Linked DNA regions of Rhinolophus ferrumequinum. The protein of the gene in region 1 interacts with the protein of each later gene in a pairwise test. Links are inferred from orthologs where the notes say so. Each region holds a gene or a part of one and is shown on either strand. Other genes may lie near its edges.

The links.
Region 2: the proteins of CWF19L2 (region 1) and MEOX1 interact in binary tests that used the Homo sapiens proteins (3 or more experiments, as listed by UniProt). The two-hybrid records come from large-scale screens. The link is inferred for Rhinolophus ferrumequinum from reciprocal best matches to the Homo sapiens genes CWF19L2 and MEOX1.
Region 3: the proteins of CWF19L2 (region 1) and RINT1 interact in binary tests that used the Homo sapiens proteins (3 or more experiments, as listed by UniProt). The two-hybrid records come from large-scale screens. The link is inferred for Rhinolophus ferrumequinum from reciprocal best matches to the Homo sapiens genes CWF19L2 and RINT1.

What each region holds. Positions count from the first base shown.
Region 1 is NC_046294.1:76,275,363-76,282,470, reverse strand, and holds the start of CWF19L2 (CWF19-like protein 2), read left to right. Parts: upstream 1-4,088; 5' UTR 4,089-4,118; coding exon 4,119-4,211; intron 4,212-5,807; coding exon 5,808-5,918; intron 5,919-6,688; coding exon 6,689-6,808; intron 6,809-7,108.
Region 2 is NC_046304.1:38,913,189-38,921,191, forward strand, and holds the start of MEOX1 (homeobox protein MOX-1), read right to left. Parts: upstream 3,020-8,003; 5' UTR 2,622-3,019; coding exon 2,153-2,621; intron 1-2,152. UniProt on the Homo sapiens protein: Mesodermal transcription factor that plays a key role in somitogenesis and is specifically required for sclerotome development. Required for maintenance of the sclerotome polarity and formation of the cranio-cervical joints.
Region 3 is NC_046303.1:48,938,055-48,944,958, forward strand, and holds the start of RINT1 (RAD50-interacting protein 1), read left to right. Parts: upstream 1-3,923; 5' UTR 3,924-4,006; coding exon 4,007-4,048; intron 4,049-4,505; coding exon 4,506-4,551; intron 4,552-6,904. Other genes in the region: serine/threonine-protein kinase MARK2-like, read left to right, coding at 3,801-3,923. UniProt on the Homo sapiens protein: Involved in regulation of membrane traffic between the Golgi and the endoplasmic reticulum (ER); the function is proposed to depend on its association in the NRZ complex which is believed to play a role in SNARE assembly at the ER.

The DNA of each region.
Region 1 (7,108 bases):
TTTTGATGACATTCAGGACATCAAGTGTGTTACAGCCACAGCTCTGATGGCCATTCCAGAGAAAGAGTTCCAAAATTGCTTTGAAGGGTGGACTAGGCACTGGTGTTAGTGCATAGCTTCCCAAGGGGAGTACTTAGAAGGTGACAGTAGTGATATTCAGCAATGAGGTATGCAGCACTTTTTCTAGGATGAGTTTGCAAACTTAGTTTTCTGACCTCGTTGTAGATTTATTTATAACTACCCCAAACTGTAAGCAACCAAGATGTCTTTTAATAGGTGACTGGATAGATAAATGATGGTACATCCATACAGTGGAATGCTATTCAGTGATTGAAAAAAAAGCTATCAAGACACAGAAACACATGGATGAACCTTAAATTCATATTGCTCAGTAAAAGAAGCCAGTCTATAAAGGCTACATACTGTATGATCCCAATTATATGACATTCTAGAAAAAGTAAAACTACGGAAACAGTAAAAAGAGCAGTGATGGCCAATTGTTTGAGGGAAAGTAGGAAGGTTGAATAGGTGAAACATGGGATATTTCAGGGTGGTGAAACTATTTGTTGTGATATTCTACTGGTGGATACACAACATTGGCATTTGTCAAAACCTATAGAAGTATACAGCACCAAAGTGAACCTTAATGTTTGCAACATTTAAAAAAATTCTATAGGAGGTGTGGGGATTCAAGAATGAAATGCAGAACAACACAAAAGAATGTGTTTCAAATGTAGGAAACAACTTCATTGAAGGGGGTGGGGGAAAAGGTGCTGACATAAGTAATTTTGGAAATGAGTGAAGTCTGTAAGACTAAAATAAAACTATATATAAGCACTGTAATTTAATTGATAAACTTGAGCTGAATAATTAAACGGATGGAGGACTGTGGGAGCCTGGTTTCTCATTGCTGGAATGGGAATTTACAGATAGGCAAGAGGAGGCTAGAATGATCTATGTGGCAATAGAATGGGTAATATCAGTATGAACTCATGTATCTTAGTATAGATACAGACGGTCAAACAGAAATGTGTACACACATGGGTTGGAATATAAACATATTCATCTTTGTCAGTTAAGGGGCCTAGAAGGAATAACACTCCAGTAGCACTGAGCACAGTTTGCGTATCTTAGTTTCTAATACCATTCTCCAAGAAAAGGCACCAGAGCTTTTTGGAGAAATGATTGATTCTAGAACTGAGACAGGAAATACACAAGATGTGTCTGGAGCATCTTGTCACGCCAGACAGTAAGGAAGTGCTAAAACAAAATTAAACCCTATAATGATGAGGGCCAACCGAAAGAGCTCCCAATGGCCAGAGGTGGAACAATTTGAATAAGAAAATAAAATAGCATTGGATTTTAACCAAAAGTGTAAAATAAATATCCACGAGTCCATATTGATAAATAAATAATTGCATAACTAAATAAATGGGGGATAAGAGACAAATTTCCTATGCAGAAAAATTTGAAATAATTGATGTAGATACTCCATGCTGAAGAAGGTGCAACATAAACCCCTACTCCTTACATGTTAGAGTCACATAGTGACTTTCTTCCAAAGACTACAGTATGGAAAGGGAGGGAAAAAAAGAGCAACTTTACAGTGCAGAAACCTGACAAGTACGACCTCAGCCAGGTAATCAAGATTAACATCCTCAATGATAATCATGAGAAAAATCCTAACTCAGGTGCATTCTACAAAAATACCTGACCAATCATCCTTAAAATTGCAAAGGTCATCAAAACAAGAAAAGTTTGAGCAACTGTCGAAGGCCTGAGGAGCCTAAGGAGAGATGATGACTAAGTGTAATGTGATTAACTGGGTGGGATACTGGAACAGGAAAAGGACATTAGGTAAAAAAGGCTAAGGAAATTTAAATAAAGCACAGTCAAATCTGGGACAATTTGAGAAAATAAATATTGTTAATGTATTATCCCTCCGAATAAAAATATGAATCTATTGAATAAAACAAATCATGAGTCCAGACTGATATAAAATGAATAATTTGAAAGTTTGATGAGGAATTTGCATAGCTTTAAGAACTGACCCCCAAAATACTTGTTAATTACAAAGGGAAAAGGAGTAACTTTGCAGTGAAGTTTGGCAGACAACACTTTATTGAAATGTTCAGAGTTAGCATCACTGGAAATGGAACAAATGGAAATTGTGTGTTACTTGATAGGACGCAATGAGAATAGTCACACTTCTTAATAGTTCTGCTCGAAATGCCTAACCTGAGTCCAACCACAAAGAAACCTCAGGCAAACCCACGTTGAGTGTCATTCTATAACATCTGTCCTGGAATCTTCATGACTCTTTTATAGTGAGTTGTGTTCACGTGACCTATTTCTGGTTCACAAGATTTAAATGGAAGAAACTGGACTAGGCTTTAGGAAAAGTCATAAATTTTCTTAAAAAGGGGTAGACTAAGCTGGCATACACTTTTTGCCCTTTGTTCTACCCTTTTATTCTTACATCTTATAGATGCTATGCATAGATATGGAGGAATGCAATGCATTCCTTGTGATTGTGAAGAACTTAAGTCACAGATTAAGTGTTACAAAGCAGAAAAGGAGAAACAACCTGATTTCTTCAGCAATTTCACCATAGCTTCATGCTCTGTACTACATTTTCCCTTGTTTAATTAAATCATGGATGTCTAGTATCAGATGTGGCCAAATGCAAACTAATCAAAACAACTTCCTTTTCCCTTGTTTTTCTATATCAACCTATCTACTTCCCCTTCCTGATCCCAACATTTTTTTTGTTGGTCGTTTTATTGGTCTTGCCCTGTATTTACAAATTCACTTATGGACATCTGTTTTATGATGTTGAGCCTTCTTGAAGCACATGATATACCTTTTCATTTGTTCTAGTCTTCTTTTGTGCCTCAAGTAGGATTTAAAAGTTTTTGTCATAATTTTGCATGTTTCTACTATAAATACTATTTGTTCTTATTTGCCACATAATTGATGTGGGGTGGGGGAGACGTTTTTCCCCAAAAGAATCTGAAAAGACTTTTAATGTTATTTTAGTTAGTAATAAAAAAAATCAGTCAAGGTATAATTAAGGGGTTAAATATTTCAAGGTCAATTTGTAAATTAAAATTCACTTTTCTGTAACAAAAATACAATGTGTATATTCTATTTTACATATCAAACAAGTAAACATTACATGCTCAAGGTCAAGATTTTTACAGATTGGTAAAGCAGAAACTCCTGGGAAAGCTTCGTGCAAACACAAATTTAAGTTTACAAAACCTGGAAAGAAAGCATATTTATTTAATCTGGTTTATACTATTTTTAATGTCTTTAAGGTATCTAGTTTATATTTACTCTCCGGCCTTCTTTATCTTTGATTATAAGTGTGAATTCAGTGTGTTGTATTCTCAAAACCCTTGAACAGTACTTCAGAATGTCTTCATGGAACTTAAAGTTTGGAAGATACAAACATAAAACAATAAAAATCACACAAATAGGTAATTGCACACTGTCATGAAAAATGATTGGATGGATCTGAGCAAATAATACGAGATTAAATAAAAATGTAACATTTATTAACAGCTTAAATAAGTACCGATAAATTATGGAGTACAGTACAACACTCACATGACTGTTTCATATACTGGGAAAAAAAATCCACCAAAGCAAACCACCGAATCTTCAAAGCAATTTTGCCCTTCCGACTACCTTTCCGGCCAGCCTCCCGTCAGTTCATTCCTCCAGCACAGGGAAATTCTTTGGTTAGAAGGGCCCTTTGGTGGAAAACTTTTGAGATGTACGAACTTAACCTGTATGAGCTTCTAACTTACTCCGGGGATTTTAAGAGGAAATAGCTGAGAATGCTATTATCGTGCAAAGCGCATAATAAATGTATAGCGACATTAATCCTGCTCAGGGCGATCCCAATATACGAAGAAGGACAACTCCTCACTTTAATCTTCAAGTCTCTAAAACCTGGCGTTGGAGTAACCACAGGAACCAGATCCGCGCATGCTCTCTTGGTGGAACTGCGCCGGTTCTCTCCCTAGTCGGAAGTCCGGTTTGTTTATTAATTACGACAGTCGTAAACTAAGACTTCGTGATGGTTTCCTACTTTTACGACATCAACAACTATGGCGGCTGCCAGTGGTCGGTTTGAAAGTGAGAGGAGTATCCAAGAGCGTAAAGAGCAGACACGGATAGCCAGGGCCGAGGTGTTGCGCCAGGTAACTCCGTTTTGGGGTTTTGGGAACCATTTAGAATTGTGGCTGTTTCCTGGGAGCTAGGCCTCTGGCTCTCCTTCCTCCCTACCCCTTTTCTTCTCTCTCCATCAGTATCTCACCTTATCTGGGTCGAAACGGGGGGGGCGGTCTCCCTGTGGGATGCCTGCAAATTTTTGAGTATCTTCTCCCTCTTAGATGCTCTGGCAGGCTCCAATTGCTCATTTTCTTTTCAGGAAGACCTGTTTCTTTCCTCTGAGTTTCATTAACTTTTTACATAATGCGTTGACATTTCTATCACCTGGGCTGCGCACTTTCGAGGGACTACGCAACTAATGAGTCTCCCCAGCGTATGTCCCAGCCCCAGCCCTTACTCCTGCTGTTTGTGAAATGAAAATGTTCGTTTTCAGGAACACATGTAAGGCGCATTGGAGTAAATTGCGTTTGACCGTTTCATTCTCCTTTTGTACTATGGGTATCAGTTCCTGGCTTATTGTAAACCCTTACCGACCCAAACAAGGGTTGACACAACAGACCCAGGAAATTGCACCCCTTGAAAAAGACTGACAAACTATTTCTCATTAAGATTGAGATGCAGAGAGGTAACTTATAAAGAATGGAGGAAGTAAACTATGGAATTATCTGACAAAATGTAGGAAGTGTGGCAATGAAGGGAAAAATGAAGCAGAGAGCATCATAAAGTGTAAGTGAGAGTTTTTGTTTTTATTTGTTTTAAGATGGAAGAGTTTAAACGAGTTTAAATGCAGATGGGAAGTAGCAGGTAAAGGAGACAGGAAGGAGAAGATGTAATGACTACAGCCAGATTTTAAAGGGGAAGAGCGAGTGGGTGATTAATCTTAGACAGGTGAAAGGTCAGTATTGTTTTTTGATTTCAGCATATGAAACATATGTGTAACAAATATTTTTTATTTTTGTCTCTCTGATATTTCAGGCAGTGTTTGGAGGCAGTAGGTTTTGTAAGCTGTGATAAATTTTATAATAGAGATAAGCATAGAGTTTGAGAAGGACCAAGCCCAGCTTTCGAGTTTGGGAAGAGAATGAAAAAGCAGGAACAACCTTTTAGGAAGAACTTTATTTGAATATTGTTGAAGGATGAATAAAAATTCGCAATATGATCATTTTGTTTTTAGAAAGATGATTTTTCCTGAAGCATTTTTGGGGAGTGAGTAGAGAGTTATGGGCATTGCTGATGGAATGTATGGGGTATGGTGGTCATTCTCCTAACAATTAAAAATGTCTCAGGCGGTAGCACTGGGATGGTGAAGGGAAAAGAGTTTCAAGTCATACTTGAGATTGGAATCTTAAGGAAAGGGGAGGGTCTAGAATAGGTCCCAAGATTCTGTCCTTGATTGGTGGCTCTATTCACTAGAGATTCGTAATGGGCAAGGAGAGGGTCTTTTGTTTGTTTTTTTGTATTTTTGAAAATCTTTCCTACACTTTGGTAGAAGCGTAGGAAAAAATTACTGGTAAGAGACAGACTGTTGATTCATGAGAACATGTATGAAAGTGGGAGATTTTGTTTTACTTTTTTGTGAAACGCAGTTGGATCAATTGTTAATTTTTCTTTTTTCAATATTTTAGGCTAAAGCTAATTTTGAAAAGGAAGAAAGACGTAAAGAACTTAAACGACTTCGAGGTGAGGATACATGGATGTTACCTGATGTGAATGAGCGGATTGAACAATTCTCACAGGTGAATACTGTCAGGTCTACTTGATGTAAACACGTCGGACTGTTTCTGCATTTAATCTTGCAAGTTAATCTTGGAGGAGCAACTTTATAGACGGTTTTCAAGTTACAGAATGAATATCACATAGTGGGCATTACAGAATAGTTTTATCTCTTTGGCAGAAATAATATATTTTAATATTTTGGATATTGTGACTTTGGGTAGATTTTGTTACTTGAGTTGGCTGGTAGAGTTTCTGGCCCACTTGTAAGCTTATGGGTCTAAAAATGTATGCGTTTCAAGCTTAATGTCATGTGGGTTTTTCGTTTTTCTTCTTGTCTCAATTCTTGTTTTCTCTTTCCGTAATTTTAATTTATGCTATCTTGTTATATTTTAAATGTCCCAATAATCTTCTATAAATTCTTTTGGGGCCATAGAAGATATATACATATAAATGCATACACACATAAGTTTGTGTATATATGTTTTTATTTGATTATATCTGTTTGTCAAGTGAATCTACAAATAAATGAAAACTTCCCTCATATTTTTGGATAAGATATCTCAGCTCTATGATTTATTAGTAGTGCGTGTATTATAGAAGCATGTTAAGTTTTCTTAGAAGATTTTGTTCATGTAGTCATATTTCTTGTCTTAATTCATAAAAAAATTAAATATTTTTGGAACAGATTTTTTTTCTCTTAACATATTTCCTTTTAAAGTAAGATAAAACTAAATTCCTTTCTTAGTTTTGAAGAAGGTAATTCTTACCTCTTCAAAATGATTATTTATAGGAAAACTCTATGAAGAAAAAGAAGAAAAAAGACAAGCGTTCAAAAAAAGTAAAGAAAGAGAAGAAAAAAAAGAATAAGAAACAGAAGCATGAAAAAAACGAGTCAACTGATAGTTCATCAGTACGTATGTACTAAAACTAATCAAAGCACCTACTTGAGAAAATTTTATTTAAAGAAATAGTGTATGAGAACTTAAAAAATATTACCAGTTAGGATATGAAAAAGCTTGGGAGACATTTACTTGGAGATGTCAAGGAAATATTGGAAATAAGAATCTTAGGTTACAGAGAAAGGTAAGAAGATGGAGACGAAATTTGGGAATCATTGCTTATTAGAATAAGTGAATTGCCTCAGGAAACTGAAAAGAAAGATAAACACCAACACTGAGGAGCCAGACAGGAAGTAAAAGACATAAGTAGA
Region 2 (8,003 bases), on another chromosome or scaffold:
CCCGAGGCTGACCCTGTGAAGAGTGCAGGGCATTCAGGAGAGGGTGCCCATGTGCTTTTGGGGATGGTCAGCTGCTTGGCATGAGAGCTTACTCCCTAATGCAGTTCCATGGGCCACCGGCCAAAAGGAAAGACACTCATTTGGATCTTGCTGAAACACGGAATGATTTTGCCTAAGCCCAGCCCTTGGCTTTGCCCATGCCTTCCCAGTGCCTTGGCTCCCAGTTCCCAGGAAAGTGGCTGGATGCAGCCAAGGGAGGTGTGGGCAGAGATGGAGCTACGGTGGCCGGCCCACAGAGGGGAGAGCTCTTCAGCCAGGCACAGGACCAAGTTGCTGAGAGCTCCTTGGAGAGAAGAAGCAGAAAGTGCCCGATCATCGGCAAATCTCCAACCAGGGCTGGGAGTAATTCAGGATTTAACCGGTTGACGATTTAAAAGTCCCTTCTATTGAACAGCCAGGAGGGTTGTGGTCATTCCCATCTATTATGAGTGTGTTGAGGGGATTCTTCAAGCATGGAGACCAAATATGTCAAAATGACTATTGTGCTTGAAACCTACTGAAGGGTGTGGGATCTGGGATCTGAAGTTCCGGGTTTGAGCTCACTTCGAGGGTGACCAACTGTCCTGGTTTGTGCGGAGCTGAGGGTTTTCTGGCACACTGGACTTTCAATGCTAAAATCAGAGAAGTCCTGGGCAAACTGAGATGAGTGGTTCACTCTCTTTAGACTCCATCCTAGCAGGGATCCCCTCAAATTTTCCGAATCTCCTTTTCCACACGTGTAAGAACCAAGATACTGGTAAGACTTGCTGTACTTGCCTCGCAAACTGCTGGGACTCAAAAAGAACTAATGAGTGTTGCCCACCGTACCTTGAACCTCCCTGATTATAGCACATCCACTGCCAGACAGGCATCTGCAGACCTCTCTGCCTTCTCAGTTTAAACTCTTTGGGTGGGGGAGGGTCGAGACCATCTTATTCATCTCTGCATCCCCAGTGCTTTGGCCAGTGATTGACAAAGAGAAGATACTTGGGAAATTTGTGCTACATTGAAGGTGCTTTGCAAAGCACCTTCTCATTGGTTGGTTGGCACTCTCATTTTCTGCCTGTGCTGGTTAGCCCCATGAGAAGGTCCTCCGTAGGTACAGATGTTGCCCCAAGGGCGGCTGTCAGGAGGACATAGCGGGCCATGGGGGCAGGAGGCATGGACACTGCCTTGTTTTGGGCAAGGCGGGGCCAAAGAATGATAGGAAAGGTGAATAGGCAGCGAGAGAAGCCGGGGATGCCCCCATGGGGAGAGGAGGAAACAACAGGTTTCTACCACAGGGAGGAGATGGAGTTTAGCTGGGATCTCAACAAGTGGGCCAACCAACTCCATCCTCTGGCCTCTGGGGCTCCAACACCGAGCGGGGTTTTACCTGCATTCTGAGGTCCAGTGCTTGCCCTCAGCTGCCTGCCTTCCTGACTCTCCCCAAGGCCAGTGACCCCTTAGGAGGGCCTTTTCTGGGGGTCAACGAGAACTTAGCATACTGAGCTGCCCCCTTGGCCTGGGCACAGTCCAACTGGGCAGGGTGATACCTTGTGGGCAGTCTGCCCCAAATCTCATACTCCAGCTTCCCTACTCCTTGCCGCTCTCATCCCAGCCCTAGGCCTGCTTCTCTGCCTCCAGTCTCCTGGAGTCATAGGATCTTGGCTCTGCTTGACTGCCCAGGGTGCTAGCCTCAGTCCTAGCCCTCCAAGCCTCTGACTGCCCTGTTGAGCAAACCCTGGGGCTCTGCAGATCATTTGGATCCAGCTGGAGCACGGTGGGGAGAAGCATGACCCAGAGGCTGCTGGGGTTCAGGAAAGCCCTTCTCCAGCCCTTGCCAGCTTGTACTGAGGCTCCATCCCACATATCCTCCAAGTCTCTGTGGATCCTGTTTTATTCTCTTGCTGGCACATCCTTCCTAGGGCCCAGGAGTGCTGGGAACACAGACACAGCCCCCATCACCAGAGGATTCTAGAACTCTGAAGTAGAAGAAATCCCAAAGGTAATTCTTGCCTTTAGATAGTACTGGTCACAATTCATGGGTCAGGGCAATTGAGCTCAGAGAGAGCAAGTGACCTCTCCAAGATTGCACAGTAAAAGAATGGTCAGCTGCTCTTCAGCCACCTACCTGAATTCTCCTTTTTCCGTCTAGTTGACTTCTTCTCTGTCTCGTTGGCAGTGCTTCCAAGGACCTCGTAGTCCTCACCTGGGCCTCCCGTGGCGTCCATCAGGCTTGGGCTGCTGGCCCCCATCTCCCTAGAGCCCCCAGCTGGGCCTGGGTTGAGCCTGCGCCGGGTCTCGGAGACAGGGAAATGCCAGTCAGGGGGCTGTGGGAAGGCAGGGTGCTGCTCAGTGAAGACGCGCTCCTCCTGGGGAAGGCTGTGTGGGGTGGCCGCCAAGCAGGAGGCCGAGAAGTCGGGGTATGCTGCTGTCGCTGTCGCCGGGAAGTCTGGTTTCTGGTGGAAGGAGAATGGGGTTGGCGGGTAGTGGGGTAGCCCTGAGGCCCCACTGCCTTCGGAGTGGGGATTTCGAAGGCAGCCCCAGACAGGAGCTGGGGGGTGGGGGCTCCTCATGCAGCTGCTGGCCACAGGATCCATCTGCCGTCTGCTGCACGCCTCAGTCTTTCAAAGGTTTGATTCTTACACTGTTTATATTCAAATTTTTAAAAATGCAAAAAAAAAAAAAATCAAATAGGAGGGAAAAATGTTCAATAGAAAGTTCACCCCAGGAACCGAGACAAAAACCAAAACTAAAGTCGCTTTTTAAAGTCCGCGCACATGTGTCCAGCTACACGTATATGTATACACACACCTCTGTCGGACTTCACTCCTGGCTTCCTGCTCCCCGACACACCAGCCTGCCTATTGGGGTCCCCTGTACATGTATTTGTTGCCGATGACACTAAACATTTTCACTGTCCCAGCCCAGAAGCACCAGCTGATGGAGTGCTCGTCCTGGAGCCCACAGCAAATGCCTGCAGAGGGCCGGACCAGGGCTGCTGAGACACACTTTTAAATGCTGCGGTGGGGAGAGAGTGACAAATTTCTGAAGTGAAATGTGAGAGAGGAGAGGGAGGGGTTAACCCGCACCCACACGATCCCCTCCAACCAAAACCCGAGCAGGCAACTATTAATCATCGGAAACCTTATATGCACATCTAATGGGATTTGCAGATGGAGACTTTTAAAGAAACATTGTCTGTATTTTTTTTTGAAGGAGAGAGAGCAGCACACACACACACAACTTCTTTAATGTGCCTCCTGTAACACTATGAAGTTATTTTATTGCACTGTTAACAAAATTCCCCAAGTCTTGGATTTGGAAAAAGCCTTAAGTCAGATCCAGAATCCATCAAGTGCCAAATTCCAGGGAGTGAAGCAGGGAATAAGTGCAAGAGACAAGTTTGCTGATTGCATTTGATTTAAAAGCCCTTCTACTGCTGCTTGCAAAAAGGAAGGTGGATTAAAAGAAATCTTTTTTTGCAAGTCTCCGTGGCCCACTAGGGTCTGTGGTATAAAGAAAGACATACTCCAGAAAAAATTTTTTTCTCTCTGCCCAAAGTGACATTCTCACTTTCTCAGTAACTTAAAAAAACAATCAGATTCTTCCTTCCGCTCTTTAACCCCCAACTTAATGCCAATTAGCCACACTCTTCTCTAGAGGGGTTTCAAGTCATTTTTCTCCACGGCAAAGGAAAGCCTCTGTAGGTAAAGTCCTTGAAGTTTCTCCAGGCCTCCCCCACCTGCTCCCTGGCCTCCTAACCTTCACCAACCTGCTTCCCCCTCTCCACTCCCAGAGGCCAAGGCTTCCATGGACTTTGGGGCACAGAAATAGAATCAGGGGTATTCTCATTCCCAAAGGAGTTCTCTTTGGCAAACAGTCACGTGGTCTTCCTAGCTGGTACCTATCACAGGAGGGCCAATTGCCATTTTAACCAGTCAGTCCCTCTACTTCATCCCACGGCCTCGCTGGTCTTTCTGGAGGGTTAATGTAGTTTCTTGGAGGATGACAGTCCCAGCCCACGAGCCCAGAGCTCCTCTCCCACTGAATATTTCCATGATCCAGAGTGGCACGATTGGGGCTGAAATGGGCACGGACCATTCCATCTTTGCTGGCTGGTTTCAAAGGAGGAGGGGTCTTAGCTCTGCAGCCTGGAGGCTGCGTACATGCTCTTCTTGAAACAGGTATTTCATCTTTTGGAATGGGCATTGTAGGGCAGCAGAGGGGATGGAGCCATAGCCACAAACTAGACTCATCTCTTTGCTTTGTCTGGGACTCTGCTGTTGCATACACATTTCTTCTCTGAAGCTCACCACTCCCCCAGTATGGGTAAAGTGAGAATTGAGTTCTACTTTTACAAGCAAGCGAAATGAGGCTCAGACAGATGACATGGGCTGCTCAGAATCACACAGCTAAGAAATGGCAGAACCAGGAATTGTCTTCAGGTGTCTGGAGCAGCTTGGACTGATGCATGGACTTTGGGCTTAAACCTATGTGAGTTTAAATCCTGGGTCTGCCACTTTCTCGCTGTGTGTCTTGGGACAAGAAACCTCACCTCTCTGAGCTTCTCTGTTCCCTCATCTGGGATGATAGTCCATTCATCCACTGATGATAGCGGACATTCATCCACTGATCTTAGCATCTCACATATATTCCCCCAATGGATCCCCACAAAGGCCCTCTGAGGCAATTGTTTCTCTCATCATCTCCATTTTTCAGAAGAGGACTCTGAAGCACAGAGAGACTGTGTAACCTGCACAAGGTCACATAGCTGGGAAATGGAAGATCCAGAATTCAAATCCAGGCAGCCTGGCCCCACTGCATCAGAATGCCTACTGCACAGACATTTGAAATTTTTAAATGAATAATTTATGTGAATTGTGAAGTAGGTAACAGATAAATGAGGCTCGCTTTCTAGCATATCTCATTCTTAACTCAACGATTCCAAAGGGAGACTGTAGGACTGGGGAGCACTGAGAAATTCTACAGAAACAGCCTTGAGAGGTCCCTCGAGACGCTCCAGGTTGTGGGGGCTCTAGAAGGAATCCCTCAGATATTCTGGGAGGAATATCTGGTCTGTCAGCTTCTCTAGGTAAACCTTCCTGGGGCCTGGCCCCGGCAGGCTGTAACCAGATTCCTGCTCTGCCTTCACATCTGGTCCAGGGACCCCATCCCAGGGAGACCCAGCCGCCTGGCCCTTTGCCCCTAGAAGGGGTGGGCCCTGGGTCATGGTGGAGTGGGTGGAGAGGTCAGGAGGGGCAGCAGGGAGGGGGCGTAGCAGGGGTACTCTGTGCAGGGCCCTGGCACCCCGGCGCCCACACAGCTGCCGGTGTCTGTCAGCTACCCTGCAGGGCGCGGCTGGGGGCCCTGCTGGCCTCTACATCTTCCTGACAGGCCCCTCTTCTGAGGCCAGGAAAAAACAACAGCGGTTCCTCCCCTCTCGGCAACCCATTTGTTAGATGAAGGCCGGGCACCAGCACCTTTAACCTCCTCAAAGTCAGCATTTCCCTGTCAAGGCCCCACAGGCCCACGAGACAGAGATGGATGGAAGTGGCTGTTTGTGGAAAAAAGGCTCAACCCTGAGGCTGGGCGGCCAAGAAGAGCAGGGTTTTCAGGAAGGGAGGGGCTCCCGTTTCTGGTTGTTGTTGGGGGTGGTAGGGGGAGGAAAAGGAAAAGCGTGCGTTAGGGGGAGGGTTCTTGAGGGCCCCTGAGGAGGGCCACACCTGAGCCATCCCAAAGAACTTTTGGAATTTCCCCCATTACGCATGACAAACAGGCGTGTCCTTGGCACTACAGACCCACTTCTGTGCTTGGCCACCCCACCCATTTGTGCGGGGACTTGCAGGGTGCCTGAGGGAGAACCTGGGGCCTTTAGGCAGAAGACTTGAATTCAAGTCTTCTCTCTTGCCTTTCCTCAGCTGTGGGGTCTCAGGCAAGTTACACCCCTTTCCTGAGCGTCGGTTTTCTCACTGGCAAAATGAAGATGACAGTACCAGCCTCCTGTGGCTGTTCTGAGGATAAATGAACTGATGTCTGTGAAAAGAGCTGGCTGACTATAAAGGGTGATACATGTGGAGAATTATTATGCCTTCTCTTTCTTTATTCTGCTGGACCACAGGGCATGTCACATCTCAGTGGAGGATGAAGATGGCCCATCCAAGCCCCCCAATACCTTTTCCTATGGCAACATAACAGAAGGTCAAGATCATGGCCTTGGGAACCAGGAGGGCATGGGTTCCAATCCTACCTTTGCCACTAGTAAGTTGAATGGCCTTGAGCAACTCACTTGATCACTTGAGCCTCAGTTTTCTCATTTGTAAAACGGGAGTAAGCTTTTTCTTCTTTCCCCATTAGGTTGCTGAGAGAAGTGAGTGAGGTGAAGTAGGAAAGCTCTCACCAAAATCTGGTACACAGTTTTCAGTGGTAATAGCTGGATGACGATGATGAAGAAAATACCTGAGATTTTCTCCTTAAGGACAACTCCAGAAGGTCCTGTGAAATACTGAACATGTGAACTGGACAAGACACCTGTTACTGAGCAAGACCTCAGGGGATGGAAACAGGAGACAGACAAGCGTTGAATATGGTGGAACTCACACTGGATTAGGATATTTACCCCTGGGCCTGGCATTTATTTGGACTGTGTATGTCGTTTGCTCCTCAGAAAGCTTTACGGCAGCAGGGTCATACTACCCCATAGGACTTTGTGAGGCTCAAATAATAGGATGGACAGGACAGGGTTGAGTAAACCACAGAATGCAGGCCTCAGGACTATTGCAGGTGCCCCTGTGAAGCCTGCAAGGTGGGGCCAAGACATTCCGCCCTAGGGAACCAATAATGTGGTCTTTTCTTAAATCCCAGAAAACACTGAGTTAATGAGAGTTTCCTCAGTCGAATGTTTTCTCTCATGAATATATTTTTTAAACATTTGGTGCTAGTCATACCTTGTCTGTTACTAAGATTCTGGGCAGATGACTGAAAAACCCAATACATAGAGGGGCCTGCATCAGAACCCTGGCTCTTGGAGGTCACGTGACCTCGTGTTCCTCAACTGCAAAGTGGAGGCTTGCTGTGTAGACCACATACATACACTCAGGAGGTGCTCAGCAAACATGCCCTTTCTAGGGCTTCTGTGCCTGAAGGAGTTAGAGGTGTGTTGAACTAAAGGAAAGGCTCTAAGTAAGGGCAACCAGATAAAATACAGGGAGCCCGGTTAAATATGTTCCATGCGATACTGGTGACGTATGCTAAAAAGTTATTTGTTGTTTGTCTGAAATTCAAATTTAGCTGGGTGTCTTTTTTTGCCCCCCTAAGTCTGGAAACCTTAATCTAAGACCAAAGTCATCCTGATGAAGAAGGCTCAGGCCTTACCTTCTCAGCCAGGATATTTGCACTTTGACAGAAGGTTCTGGAAGGAAACTCTAAAGGAAGCATTCCAGCAGGGTGTGTGGTAGTTGGGTAGGTTTGCCTTTGGCTGTGGGCCTTCTGGTTGCAGGAGGAGCCCAGGGTCCCCCAGGAAGGTCTCCCATGGAGGCCTTTTGAGTGAGACAAAGCAGAAGGGAAGAGGAAAGAGGGAGGAAGGGCATCAAGGTGGAGAGAGTGAGGACAAAGGTGAGTGCCCCTGGGCAGGAAGTGCTGAAAGAGAGAAGGAGTGAGGCCACCAGTGCTGGCTGGGCAGGGCGCCAGCCTGGGAGACTCCTGGTCACCCACTTCCCGGGGCGCACTTTTGCAGCCCTTGCTTGCAAGGCAGCAGTGCCATTATTTGGGGGAAAACCAGCTAACCAGATAGGACAGCAAACTGGGGATTTATGTGGTGTGGGAACAGCTCGGGTTTCCCTCACTGTTTATCCAGCAGTATTTTTTAAAACAGAAATCAGCGCGCGGGTAACCACAGCTGTGAGTTACTGGCTCTGGCTGTAAGGGCTGTGAGGGTGGGGGGGGGGTCTCCCCCACAGTGTTTTGCTCTGTATCAGCTTGGA
Region 3 (6,904 bases), on another chromosome or scaffold:
CAGAAGTTCCACTCCTGGGTATTTATGCAAAGAAATTCAAAACACTGATTCAAAAAGATATATGCACCCTTATGTTTACTGCACCGCTATTCACAATAGCCAAGATATGGAAACAACCGAAATGCCCACCAATATGCGAACTGGATAAGGAAATTGTGATACATTTATACAATAGAGTATTACTCTGCAATAAAAAAGAATGAAATCTTACCATTTGCAACAAAATAGATGGACCTAGAGGGTATTATACTAAGTGAAATAAGTCAGGCTGAGAAAGACAAATACCAAATGATCTTACTTACATGTAGAATTTAAAGAACAGAATAAATCAACAAACAAGACAGAAATAGACTCATAGATACAGAAAACAGAAAACAGACTCATAGTTACAGATAACAAACTGATGGTTGCTAGATGGGAGAAGGGTTGGGGGGATGAGTGAAAAAGGTGAGGGGATTAGAAAATATTTACAAATTGGTAGTTACAAAATAGTCATGGGGATATGAAATACAGTATGGGGAATATAATCAATAATGTTGTAAAAACTCTGTATAGTGCCAGGTAGGTACTACACTTACGAGGAGCATCACTTCATAAATCATATAAATGCCTAATCACTACCCTGTACACCTGAAACTGATATAAAATAATAGTAAATGTCATTGAATTTCAACTATAAGTTAAAAAGCTATATAGTCACAGAATGTACGGTATAGGGAATAGAATCAGTGGTATTGTAATAGCTTTGTACAATGTCAGGGGGGTAGTAGACTTGGTGGGGTGATCACTTTGTGAGGTGTGTGTAAATGTCTAACCACTACGTTGTTTTGCACATGTGAAAGTAACAATAAAAACATACAGAGAGGCAGCTGCAAGAAGAGTCTACCTAGAGTTGTCAGCCTCCGGTCTTCTCCTTGTGCCTCCTGACTCATGTGGAAATGAATGACTCTTGGAAGAGAGTAGGGATGGTTCTCAGGATGGGGAGACTGTGAAATGTTGACACTAAACTGAGGCACCAGGAGCGCAGCAGATATTTTCATTTTGACCTTCAAATATTTTCAAAAGATGGAAGCAGGATCCCTAGGAGGAAACCAGAAGCAGATGGATTTCAGGCTTGTATCATGAAAGGCCTCCAGGCTAGTCCCTTCTAGTACAAAGACTCTGTGATATTAAGATTTTGTAATTCCCTGCTCTCTATCATTTAAAATTGAAGGAGAGATAAAGAGCTGCCCAGAAAAGAATAAGCTAAAGGAATTCATTACCACCAATCCAGCAGTGCAGGAAATGTTAAAAAGGGCTTCCGTAAACAGAAGAAAGATGAAAATAATCTAATTAATAAAGACCAGAAATACAAATAACAAAATGGCAATAACTATGTACCTACCAATAATCGCTTTAAGTGTAAAAGGATTAAATGCTCCAATTAAAAGATATAGGGCCGCTCCGTGGCTCAGTTGGTTGGAGCGCAGACTCTCAACCACAAGGTTGCCTGTTGGATTCCTCGAGTCCCACAAGGGATGGTGGGCAGCGCCCCCTGCAACTAAAGATTGAACTAAAGATTGAGCTGCCGCTGAGCAACCAGATGGTCAGATGGCTCAGTTGGCTCAGTTGGTTGGAGCGCATCCTGTCAACCACAGGTTGCCGGTTTGACTCCGGCAAGGGATGGTGGGCTGTGCCCCCTGCAACTAACAACGGCAAATGGACCTGGAGCTGAGCTGCGCCCTCCACAACTAAGACTGAAAGGACAACAACTTGAAGCTAAACGGCATCCTCCACAACTAAGATTGAAAGGACAACAACTTGACTTGGAAAAAATCCTGGAAGTACACGCTGTTCCCCAGTAAAGTCCTGTGGAAAAAAAAAATCTGTTCCTCCAGAGATTTAGATAGATAAGGTGTTCTATCAGTTTCATCTTTCTCAAGGAGTTTCTCCTGATACCTTCTGACCTGTGTCAGTCTGTCGAGTGCACAGTGTTGTCCAGGCATTACTTCATTTTCTCCTGTGTCGTATCTTCTGTTTAATATGTCCTATGTCTTCTTTTTTCTTTGTTTAGTCCTTCATATTAGTGGAGCAGAACCTCCAGTAGCTTCCTGGGAAAGGAGAAGGGAAATGTTTTGAGACCTTGAATGTCTGAACGCACCTTTATTTTTTACCCACATTTGATTGGTAGTTTACTAGTAAAGCTAAATTTTCAGTTTGAAATAAATTTCCTTTTGAAATTTGATAGAATTATTCCCATGTCTTCTAGCTTTCTCTGTAACTGTTGAGAAATGGAAAGATATGCTGAGTCTTGAGCCTTTGTTTTCTCTCCCAAAGCTTAGGGGTTATCTTTTTGCCCCCAGTACTCTGCAGTTTCACAATGATGAGCCTTGGGGTCAGTCAATTTTTATCCATGTGCTGGGCAGTCAGTGGGCTCTTTTAATGTGGCAACTCATGATTTTTAGTTTGGAAAAATTTTCTTGTTTTATTGATGATCATGCCTTCCCTAACCCCTGTTGGTTTTTTTTTTTTTTTTCCTGAACTCTTATTTTTCAGATTTTGGGTCCCCTGGAGTGGTCCTCTAATTTATTATTTTTCTTTTGTATTTTTCATTTCTTTGTTCTTTTGTTTGTTTTTCCCCTAGAATATTTCCCGACATTTATCTTCCAACTTTTACTGAACTTTTCATTTCTGCTATCATATATATATATATATGTATATATGTATATATATATATATATATATATATTCTGTTATATTATGGTTGCAATGGTATCTGATATCTCAGGATACTGATTATATATATAATTTTCTTTTTATTGGGAATATTGGGGAACAATGTGTTTCGCAAGGGCCCATCAGCTCCAAGTCGTTGTCCTTCAGTCTAGTTGTGGAGGGCACAGCTCAACTCCACATTCAGTTGCCGGTTTCAATCTTTAGTTGCAGGGGGCACAGCCCACCATCCCATGTGGGAATTGAACCGGCAACCTTGTTGTTTAGAGCTTGCATTCTAACCAACTTAGCCATCTGGCCAACCCTTAGAAGCTCAGTGGCAGCTCGTTTTCTTCAATCTAGTTGTGGAGGGTGCAGCTCACTGGCCCATGTGGGAATCAAACCGGCAACCATGTTGTTCAGAGCTCGTGCTCTAACCAACTGAGCCATCCAGCTGCCCCCATATAATTTTTAAAAACGTTTTCTCCTCACTGAATGGTTTCTGTTTCCTCTAAGAGTTGCTGCTCTGGCCCCCACCCTTATTTATGTCTCTGTGGCACCACCACCTTCCATGTTTGTTTTGAAGTCAAATCCAAGAGTCCTCTACCTATCTCTTGCTATCAGGTATCTCCTATTCCTCCTACCCAGCAAAGAGCAGGTATGGTAGGGTATTGGCACTGGGTAAAGTGCATATTAAATGCTGAATCCTTTTCCTCTATTCAGCTCCCAGAAAGTTTATAACCAGATCTGCATCCTCCAGACAGGACATTGGAGGGTTATCTCTAGTTGAATCTGATCAGCCTGAAAGGAAAGATGCAAAAATAATGACATTGGAAGTTCTCCAACTAAACAGCCCAACCAAATTACATTAAAGATAGTCAACAAGCCCACCCTTACACCTTCATCTGGAATATCATCTAAAATATAAATTGAAATGATTCATACTGAATTTATGGTGTGGAGGGAGGGATATCTTCAAGCTCCATCATTAACGGCCCCAGGGAGCTGGAGGAGGTTTTACAGGGGCTGGGAAGGACCGCCCCCTTTCACCCGAGAGCCTCCGGGGCTGCGCCCAATTCCTAAGCGGCCTTCCCGGCCCCTGCCGGCAGGGGGCGCCACCGCGCACGGCCGGCGGCTGCGACGACAGGGCCTCTCTGGGAGAAGAGGAAGAAACCAAAGAGACGGGGAAAGGAAGTTGCGGTGGCGCTCCGCCCTGCAGTCCGCGAGACTGAGTTGGTGTCTGGTAGCTGGCCGGAGCCGGGCTCCACGCGCCACGCTGGCTGCTCCTGGAGCCGAGGATTTACCCGGAGGCGCGATGCTGGGGTCCGGCCAGATCGGCGAGGCGCCCGCAACCCCGGTGAGGCGGCCCTGATGGCCTGGGGAGGGGACACTGGTGGGCCAGTGAGGTGGCACAGATCTCCCAGAGGGGATTGTTTCCGTGGCGGCCGGGTTGAGGACGTGTTTCTCGTGACCCGAGAGAGATGGCTCTTGCAACCCTGGTGAGGTGGCACAGACCTCCCAGGGGAGGTAGTCCCAGAGAGGTGGCTGTGGCGATCCCGGTGAGATGACACTTGTCTCTGGGGAGGTGACCCTGGCGGCTAGGCAAGGTAACGCCAACGGTCCTGGGGAGGTGGCGGTGGTGGCCCTTTTGGAACCTGCATCAAACAGCCCCGGTCGCTCAGGAATGGGCCCGGCTCCGGCCAGCGACCCCGGGGGAAGGGGTCTGGGTCCTCGTGGTCCTCCAGTGTATGTTCTCTTGCATGAGTTCGTTTGCTACTTAAGTCTTAATGTGTTTGTTACACCTCTTCTTCTAGTGCTGCTCTGAAAGTGATGATGAAAGGAAGAACTTCAAGGAGAAAAGTAAGCGACTTCAAACACCTTAGCACTGTCTGTCTACCCAGCCAGCTCTCCAAACTCTGCCTTCCAGTGTCTGCAACCGAGAAGGGTCTTACCCTGTTATGTTTTAGATGAAGTATTTATTTTTCCTGCATAGTATGCTTGCATAGTATTAAATACTGATTATCGTTATACACATTTTTTTGTCTTTCTAAAATTCTAAAATATGGGATGATTTAGAGAAGAGCACTTCCTGACTCCTATCTCGTGCAGAGACTGAGTGGTTTCACGGGAGTTCTGCCCATCAGACTAATTCAAAATAATTGGGGCCTGCCTGTTATTAATATTTTAATGCAGCATCAACTTTTTAAGCATCAGGAATTTGGAGGGGCTAATGATCTAGGAGACATGCCTGCCACTTTAATTGTGTTCAAAGAAGTTTAGCTCATTCAAGAAGTTTAGATCATTGTTTAGCTGTAATTGACCAGTGAATTTGCACTTAAAAATTGATCTGGAAAGAAAACAATGGATAACTTGGTTCCTGGATCTTGGACTGGACAAGGAAGAGGGAAAAGGTACCTCCATTTCCTACCTTGGACAGGAGCATATGTCAGGGATGTGGACATTTGTCGTTTTACTTTAATGAGCTCAGCGTGGCAGGCTTTTGGAAATCAAGGAATCATCAGGGGCTTTTGAAGTAGAATTTATTGGGGGAGGAAGCAAAAAGGATGTAACAGCTATTCCATCAGAGGGTTTTTGGTTCTTCTGACCAGGGCAGAAATAGTCTGGGAATGAGTAGTGGTAAGAGAAAAAGGTGCCCATGTTACCGTGTTGGCTTTAAGAGCTAGGCTTGTCCTTAACATTGTCTACTGATGTAATCTGCATCAGACAGAAAGCCTTTAGTAGTCCATAGCCCTTGACAATCATAGCTGCCACAACTCAGCTCCTTTTCCTTAGAGGATTTGAGAGTACCCCATGTCTTTCAGTTAAACCCTTCCCTTTTCCACCTTTGCCCCATTCATGTCTGGGAAGTTAGTGCCTATTGAGCTCTCATGTTTGTAAAATGATCGATGCAGACTATAGACTTTGCCCTTGTCCCTCCTTTGGCTAGGGCCACTTCTTTGCAATTTATAGTAATGCTCGGTACAAAAAGTAGAGAATAGGAGAGACATAAAACCTCCAAACCACTAGCGTGTTATTTTGAAGAACCTAATTTGACTAAGAATGTACTATGCTGCATTTAATTGGTTATATAAAAAGAGTATAATATTTTAAAAAGTGAAGATAGAATTTACTCCCTTAGCATTCACAAAATAGTCCCTTTGCACGTAGCCCTGCCTCTGCAGGCACGTAGTGTCTGCAGATGTACCACGTAACTCAGTTGTTTAAGATAAAAAAAGAGAAGACATTGTAATTCCTGTACATGACCATAAATGGTTTTCTGTATTAGTAAAGTCTGATGTGGACCAGCTAATTCTGCTCATATTTGAAGAAGAGAATAATATTGGATTGAGAGTCAGAAAGCCAACATGGCATAGTCAGCAAAGGTATACCTGGAGAGACTCGGAAAAAGGAGCAGTGCTGTTGGTCCACAAATCTAGGACAGTGGAAAATAATTTAATTGCCTTTCAAGTGGATTATGTGTTTACTAGAAATTTGTTTTTTTGAGTGTTTTGTTTAGATAAAAATGGAAAAATTATTATAAGGAGTGGACTCTGGAAAATATCACATACTAAATGGGATGAGACAAAACTATCCAAAGCTAGTAAATGTTGCCTCTGCTGCTATTCTTCTCCAAGAAATGGTTTCAGGGTTCCAAATCACCTGTTTTTGTCACATTTAAGAAGTCCAATGTGAATTAATCCAAGTCTAGTTTATTTGCCATGGAAAGATTCTCACTTAAGACTGTACAATTTAGTGCATGCCTTAGTCGTTTTGAATTTTTCCTAGTAATTTGTGTTTTCTCTCATTTCCTTTAAAATTTTTTTTTCTGTTTCTGACATGGACATCTTCATACAATGGCATTTGAAGCTTTTAACACTTTTTTGCTCTTATAGAAGGAGGAGTTTTTACTCATTTCAAAATTTTTTCCTATGCTTGAAATTTTTTAATACTATTTTTTTTTCTTGACACCTTGAAGTCAGAGTCCTCCTTTGTTGTTATTTAGACCATACCATCTGGTTCCTTACAGATTTTGGAAATATATTAGACCATATATTAAAACCATACCAATAAAATCAGATTTGTCCTTGTTTTCCCAGTAATAAAATAGATTCTTAACATATAAGGTCTCCTGGAAATGTTTAATATCTATTTGTAACTGCACTGTCATGCAAATATCTGTTGAAACCTGTGGTTACTAGGACTTTAGGAGGTT